2 linked regions of the Rattus norvegicus genome follow. The protein of the gene in region 1 purifies or fractionates together with the protein of each later gene. This does not show direct contact. Links are inferred from orthologs where the notes say so. Each region holds a gene or a part of one and is shown in the gene's direction. Other genes may lie near its edges.

Region 1 (3,820 bases):
TGCTCAGTCTTATGTGGTAGATCTTGTTTATAGTTCTTTTGTGATTTTATTGTATTTCTGTGTTTCAGTTTGAAATTCTAGAGAATTTAGGCTCTTTTCCAACATTCATCATCATTTTCATTACTGTCATTCTCACTGAATGCATTCTTTTTTTTTTCTATTCTTTTTTTTTTTCTGGAGATGGGGACTGAACCCAGGGCCTTGTGCTTGCTAGGCAAGCGCTCTACCACTGAGCTAAATCCCCAACCCCCACTGAGTGCATTCTTATACCAGGCACAGCTGTGATTCCTTCACACACAGAAAGTCATGTAGTTCTCTCCTTGTCCTTAGTGTCAGTGGCCGCTATTGCTTCTCTTCTTAGAGGTGGGCGCTAAGGATTGAAGACATTATATAATTTGCTCATGGCAACATAGTAATCAAGACTAAGAGCTGGGGTTTAAAACTAACACAGCTAACCTCATTCCTTATTCTTAAATGTAAACAGCATTACAGATCTTCTTCTTTCATTTGTTGAAAATAAGAAAACCCAGTCCTAAAGTACTCGACTTTTAAAAATGATATGCTATTTTGATTAATAAATGTTTCCTTAGGTTCTAAGTAGCATGAATATTTAAACTAGTATCTAATTATTGTTCAAAAAAAAAAAACCCAACCATTTAAAGTGATGTAATTAGTAATCAACAACATTGTACTGAAAAGGCTATAGGGAATAAGGTCACAAGGTCTGCAGACTTTTGGTAGTTCTATGGTCTTAACCAGAAGAACCTTGGGGATTTTTAGTTTTCTTATAAGAGAAGTAATGGAAATGTGGTTTGATAGCAAAATAATGTGTCATATGATTTGCCAAACTATATATGTATGCATCAGAACTAAAACCTGTAGGAGAGAAGAAAGTGTTTATCTTCTGAGGATGTTCACCATGCTAGTCATAATTATCTTTGTCTTTGTAGTTATCTGATCTGAATATATTAGACTAAATGGAAAATAAGTGTGAATGTTCTTGTTTATTTATATTTGCACAATAAAAGCTTCCTAATTTGACTTACTCTTTTTGTAGCTCTGTGAATCGTTAGAGGAACTGCAAAATCTTAATGGGAAACTTCGAAGTGAAGGACAAGGAATATGGGCCTTACTTGGCCGAATTACAGGGCAGGTTAGTTTCTTTTCAGTTGCTTTCTTCAATTCTTGCTCTCTTTGTGATTTTTTCAGTGTGTGTGTGTGTGTGTGTGTGTGTGTGTGTGTATACATAATTTCTTACAAAAAGTCACTTTGCTAACTAAATAATTCAGTTCCTTCAGAGCCTAATCCCCTAGGGTAATGATTTCTGTCTGAAATGCTTGCAGACCACTTGTAGTCACTGCCTACTGAGAACCTATAACCTAGCTTGGTTCTTTTATCAGCTGTCTTGTTGGTGGGTTATTTTATTAATATTGATTGGCCTGTGACTTTTGATGAGTTAAGACAGGAATCATGGTTTCCTCTTAGTATATTCTTTATTCAGTGGTATTAGATTTTTTGTCACAATTTTTCTTTCCCATAACCTTCTTTTATGAACAGATTGCATGTCACTGGTACTGCAAAGAGTAATTGATGTTAAAAGGTGAAGATGAGGAGTCGCTTTTGGACATATGTACTCTTTTTTCCTACTAATAAGTAGTTTGTAGATTTTTGGAAGATTATGGTATTTTATATTGATATTTCGGAAAGGATATTTGGAGTGTAAGAGGTCACTTGCTCTTCTAGCTTTTGTTTTGGCTGGGTTTATATTTTTCTCAACAAAAGCCTCCTCTATAGTTTAAAATATTATCTGCTATAAAAGACATTTCCATTTATTAGGTAACTTCATAGAGGGCTGAAAATTGCATTGTGTGTAGACGGTCTGCACAGACATGTGTATCACGTGCACGATACTGTTCCCATTGGCTGAACAGATGGGAGCTCACCAGGGCACTAAGAAGTGACTTTGATAGATGTTCTGTCTTAGAAGCCAGCATACTACAGATTAGAAGAGTACCAAAGAGAATTTCATCTTTTTTATAGTGTTTGGTCCAATAAGATAATTTTTGTAATTAACCTATGGAACACCAGTATAGCTGGGATGTTGCAAAGAAGTGTACTGGTGGTTTTTTGTTGTTTTCTAAGTATACTGTGTTAGATTCTTAAGCCTCCTCTACTTTTCTCATTGTTCTAAGGTATTCAAGTGAAAGTAGTATAATTTTCATAAAGTTTAATGTATTTCTGAGAACTAATGAGCCCATGAAGTTGTAGCTTTATCATAGAAGTAGTTGAGATCAGCAATTCGTTTTCCCTTTACTAATTTAAAGCAGATTTCCCTCTCTGAATGCTAGCTTACTTAGTTAGATTTAGAGACAAGTAGGGGGAAAATACTGCTTTGTACTCACCTTTCAAACAGCATGTACGACATTTATTCACTCTATAGAAGCTGAATGTACCGGCAATCTTACGAGCACCTAAGGAAAGAAAACCAAGTAAAAAAGAAGGAGGCACACAAAAGACATCCTCTCTTCCTACAGTGCTTTATAGGCAAGTAATGAAATTATAACAGAATAATATTGTTTACTTTTTAACTATTATGTACTAGTCAGAAGTTATTTCATATGCACAAAAGTGAACTTTGTCCATTTCAGAATTTCAGTTAGGAGTGTTTCAGATTCATTTGAAGCTTTGTAGATTGAATAAAGAAGATATAGTTGTTCTCCAGAAAGGTAAATCATATATCTTGTAAGGAATTGAGAATGGATTTTCATAAGCTCTGTGGAACAAAGAATTCTTTTCAGGAAATTACAAAGTTACTTTAAAATCTGTGCCTGTTATTCTAAATTTAATATTTTAAATTTATTTATAAATCGATAATTATGTAATCGTTAATTATGTTAATGGACATAATAAGTAAGGATTTGTAGGTTACTTGAGTGAGTGTGAAATTTTGCTCTTGATTTGGGTAGTGATGAGTCGTAGTGTGTAAAGATGAAGAATGTAATATTTCTTCTTTCTGTACTTTCTTATCAACTTGCTTAGCTTATTCCAGACATAGTTTTCTTCTTTACTTCCTGTACAGTATTTAAGCAGAATTGATGATTATAGTGATTTTACATGACAAAACCATTTTCTATATGTATATGTATATAAAGGCTTCATTTCTTTCTATATTTAGACAAAGAAATCACTTTTTAATGTAATGTATTAATTACATTAAGAGAGATAGTAGAATATGCTATTGTGCTTGTATGTTTGTATTATGTGCTATATGTTACATAAAAATAACATGCACATATATGTTTGTATTCATGTGTATTGATGTGAGATATGGGAAACCAAATTACTGTCTTTGTCTCTAGTATGAACATTAGTGTATTACCACATTGTTTTCCCAAGCATGGTTGATTTTTGGAAAATATTAGGGATAGTACCAGACTTTGGAGTTTTATGACTATAATTATTATTTTTTGCTTCACAATATGTTTAAAGTCTTATTCTTTAGCTTTAATGGGATTTTTTTGTTGTTACTAATATTAATTTTTGTTATTGCTGCTTTACATGTGTATTTTCCAGGAATATTGAAAAAATCCAATTCTTTCAATTTGTTGTGCATTCCTGTTTCTTTTAGTCACCCAAACAACTTTCCTGTCATTCTCTACATCTCCAGTATAGATATATGCTAATTTTTCAGCCTTTGGTGCTCATTTTCTTAGAAGTAAATTACGTTTTCTCACAAGAAATGTTAACTGTCTGAAAATTCTGAAGGTCTGGAATATATCAATTAGTATGCTTTTTAAAAAATTCATCCTCTGGCTTTTGT
Region 2 (3,634 bases), on another chromosome or scaffold:
CTTGGTTCCAATTCCAGTCCACTTTTCCTAGGTTCTGAGCAGCGCTGTCACCTTCTCCATTCGTTACCAGCTCGTCCGACTCTTCTATGATGTCTGAGCTCCCTGACGACTGCCCTTTACCACACAGTCTCCATTGGACCTCAGCCAGGACCCACCTCTGTCCGCTCCGACCGCCTTCTGGTCCAGGCTCAGCTTCTGCCGTCATCTGTGACTACTGACATCCTGGATGGACTCCTTAGTGGACTTGACGTCCACTAGTTGGACTTTGCCTATGCTTTCTTGAGTTTGCTACTCCCTCCCTTTCTGCAGCCTCACCAGGTGGGCCTGTAGCATCTTTTATGCAAATATTCATGGCTCAACTTTCAGAACCCTAACTCTAAAGGAATCCCCTGGGCCTTGAGAGAGAACCTGGGCTAGGGCTAGAGTTAGGGCAACATACTCCAAGGTAACCTCACATCTGACTATCAAATTAAGTGTTCTGATTAGGAAGAGCAGAGGCAGGGCCATGTGCTCAGAATGGTGACAATAAAGGATTGCCTTTTACTTGTTCCTCTAGGTGTAGCCACTCCTTCCTCCTTTCTTTTTAACCTTTGAGGTTCTTATTGAACCCTAGGGCATCCTTATACTTAAATGCTCTACCACTGAACTATATCCCAAGCTCGACATATTTATTTTTTTATATAGGCATTTTAGAATAGATTGAAAGGATTAGAGTGGGTACCTTTTCCAATAGGATCCCTACCCCTGCTCCCCTCAGACCCTTTCTTGTAAGAGAGGTCTGTCACATACTGAGACCAGACAGAACATATCAAATAAATATTACAGCACAAACTTGTGATAGCATAATGGATAACGGTGCTCCGTTTTCTGGCACAGGATTAAACTCTCAGAAGGTTTCATTTCTTTCATTTTAAACCCTCCCTTTTCAGCCAAGCCTTTAATCCCAGCACAAGGGAGGCAGAGGCAGGCGGATCTCTGAGTTCCGGGGCACCAAGGGCTAATCAGAGAAACCCTGTCTCATTAAAATAAAAGCCAGATGGTGGTGGTGCACGCCTTTAATCCCAGCGCTTGGGAAGCTGAGGCAGGCAGATCTCAGAATTCGCAGCCAGCCTGGTCTACAGAGAGATCCAGGACATCCAGAGTTACACAGAAAAACCCTGTCTCGAAAACCCAAAAATAATAATAAAGAACAAGCAAATAAATAAACCCTTCCCTTTGCCAGATTAGAGGAGGGAGTAGGAAGTGCCCTAACCTGGAAGGAGAAAGGTGCTTACAGTGAAGACCCTTTTCCTTTAAAACCACAGGCCGGCTCAGATTTCCCAGAAACCATAGAGGTAGCTCCAAGCTCCACCCTTCTAGTCTTCGGGTTTGTGGGCGCGCCGTAGCGTTTAAATTTCGCGCGCTCTATACTGATTGGCCATTTCCAAGGGTGATTCGCCTCTGGCTTGCAGCCACTCCGCCTTGTCTTCTTCCCCGGGTAAAAGGTTTTCAAATTGGACCAATCGCTGAGCGCGTTCTCTCGGCTATGGCGCGTCACCGAAGGGTTAATTGCAACCAACCAGAGGTGGGTATTAAAAAAAGAACCAATTAGGCGGAAGCGGGGGCGTGTCCAGAGAGTTTATAAGGGCGAGCTTGCCCGCGCGAGGCGACAGTTGACTGCGGCGGTTGGCGGTTTGTCTCCTGGCGTTTTTCTCAGCCCTTCTACCTCGCACACGATGTCGGGTCGCGGCAAGACCGGCGGCAAGGCCCGCGCCAAAGCCAAGTCGCGCTCTTCGCGCGCCGGCCTTCAGTTCCCGGTAGGCCGCGTGCACCGACTGCTGCGGAAAGGCCATTACGCCGAGCGCGTGGGCGCAGGCGCGCCCGTGTACCTGGCGGCGGTGCTCGAGTACCTCACTGCCGAGATCCTGGAGCTGGCGGGCAACGCGGCTCGGGACAACAAGAAGACGCGCATTATCCCGCGCCACCTGCAGCTGGCTATCCGCAACGACGAGGAGCTCAACAAGCTGCTGGGCGGCGTGACTATCGCGCAGGGCGGCGTCCTGCCCAACATCCAGGCCGTGCTGCTGCCCAAGAAGACCAGCGCCACCGTGGGGCCCAAGGCGCCGGCGGGCGGCAAGAAGGCCTCCCAGGCCTCTCAGGAGTACTGAGGGAGCCCGCGCCGCGGCTGCCCAGCCCTCCCCCACCTCCACAAAGGCCCTTTTAAGGGCCACCACCTCCCTCACAGAAAGAGCTGAGCCACTTCGGGCTCCGGCCCGCCGCGTCCCCATCCCATTCTCTCCTCTCAGTCCTCGCGTCTTTACCCTTCCCTGTGCGGCCTCCGGGTCTGCCACAGGACGCGGGCGCCGGGGCACCTACCCATCCCGGAGCTCGTGACATCGCTTCGCCGTTCTCAGTCGTCGACGGGCTGTGCGGAGAGGTTGCGGCACCTTCCACCTTCCAGAAATCTCGGCCCTTTGCTATGACGTACGGCCGAGGTGGGCTTGAAGGTTAGTTAACCACCACCACCACCCCCCCCCCCCGCAGCTACAACCCCAGCGTTTTCAGCTTGGTGCTTAGCCCTCTCCTGGACCTTTCAGAAGTGAGTTGATTGCCGGACTTTGGTGAGAAGCGGATCATACTGTTTCACTCTGTGTCCCCCTTACTGGCCTCTCAAACCAGTTGACCCTGTCGTCATTTGTAGGCCGGCATGTTATAACGTGAAGCCAATTTTTCCAAGATAAACTGGAAAGGGTCAGGGAACGCCTATTGGCCTGTGGACAGAAGAATTGTATACCTGCCGCAGAAGACTAGAGGAGCCGGGCCTAGCTATCCCTCTCCCTTAACTCAAACTACAACCCAAACACCCAGATACCAGCACAAGTCGGTGAATCCCTGTCTGGACTGAGCCTCTGGCTTCTGAACTGGAACTTTTGCAGCTATTACAAGTTTAGAACCTTAAGAAGTGGGGAGATTCAATGGGCTAATTTTATTAAAGGATCGTTTTTGGTTTGTTTTTTTTTTTTAAACGGAGTGTCTGATTTAATTTTGAATGCCTAACTTAACTTTGAATGCTGTAGTCCCAGGGCTGGACATTTACAGCTCCATAGTCGAGGAGCCATGTGCCCAGAACATCTCGTGGGAGGGAGTGGGACTAGAGGATAAACTTACCTTCCTTTCTGCAGGCACTGGGAATGAAAGGCTATGTGAAGATCCTGTTAACTAAAGACAGGCAGGCTGTAGGGATGAAGGCTAGTTTCTTTGCTTGGTTGAGAATGATCAGGATGTTTTACAACAGAAAGGTCCCAGACTCAGAATTCAGGTTTAAAAGGGCTTTGGGTTTATTCATATCTTCCCCCAACTCCAGGAGAACCACATTCTGAACTGATTAGTGGCATTGGTTACATTAAAAGATTGGCATGGACTTTCTCTAAAGAGATGAAGCCCACAAACTACTGAGGGAAAGGCAGTCATGGAGGCCCCAAGTTGAGGCATATCTTCCAAGGCCGAAGTCTCAACAACTCTGGTTCAATCTCCTGGGATAATCATTCCCCTTGTTAAGGAGCACAGGGCACTTGACAGCCAGACATAGGCACTGGAGTGACAGCTGGGGTTCGGTTCCTGTGCCCTGCAGGCCAGTTAGCGCACATCATTAAGC

What was found.
Region 2: the proteins of Phf14 (region 1) and H2ax purify together in Homo sapiens (affinity purification with mass spectrometry; 3 studies listed by BioGRID and IntAct, counting the BioPlex papers as one, with this or other methods). This does not show direct contact. The link is inferred for Rattus norvegicus from reciprocal best matches to the Homo sapiens genes PHF14 and H2AX.

What each region holds. Positions count from the first base shown.
Region 1 is NC_086022.1:41,041,875-41,045,694, forward strand, and holds part of Phf14 (PHD finger protein 14), read left to right. Parts: intron 1-1,057; coding exon 1,058-1,153; intron 1,154-2,440; coding exon 2,441-2,544; intron 2,545-3,820. UniProt on the Homo sapiens protein: Histone-binding protein. Binds preferentially to unmodified histone H3 but can also bind to a lesser extent to histone H3 trimethylated at 'Lys-9' (H3K9me3) as well as to histone H3 monomethylated at 'Lys-27' (H3K27ac) and trimethylated at 'Lys-27' (H3K27me3).
Region 2 is NC_086026.1:53,567,071-53,570,704, forward strand, and holds H2ax (H2A.X variant histone), read left to right. Parts: upstream 1-1,647; 5' UTR 1,648-1,715; coding exon 1,716-2,147; 3' UTR 2,148-3,002; downstream 3,003-3,634. Other genes in the region: Dpagt1 (UDP-N-acetylglucosamine--dolichyl-phosphate N-acetylglucosaminephosphotransferase), read left to right, coding at 32-97; Hmbs (porphobilinogen deaminase), read right to left, coding at 3,616-3,634. UniProt on the Homo sapiens protein: Variant histone H2A which replaces conventional H2A in a subset of nucleosomes. Nucleosomes wrap and compact DNA into chromatin, limiting DNA accessibility to the cellular machineries which require DNA as a template.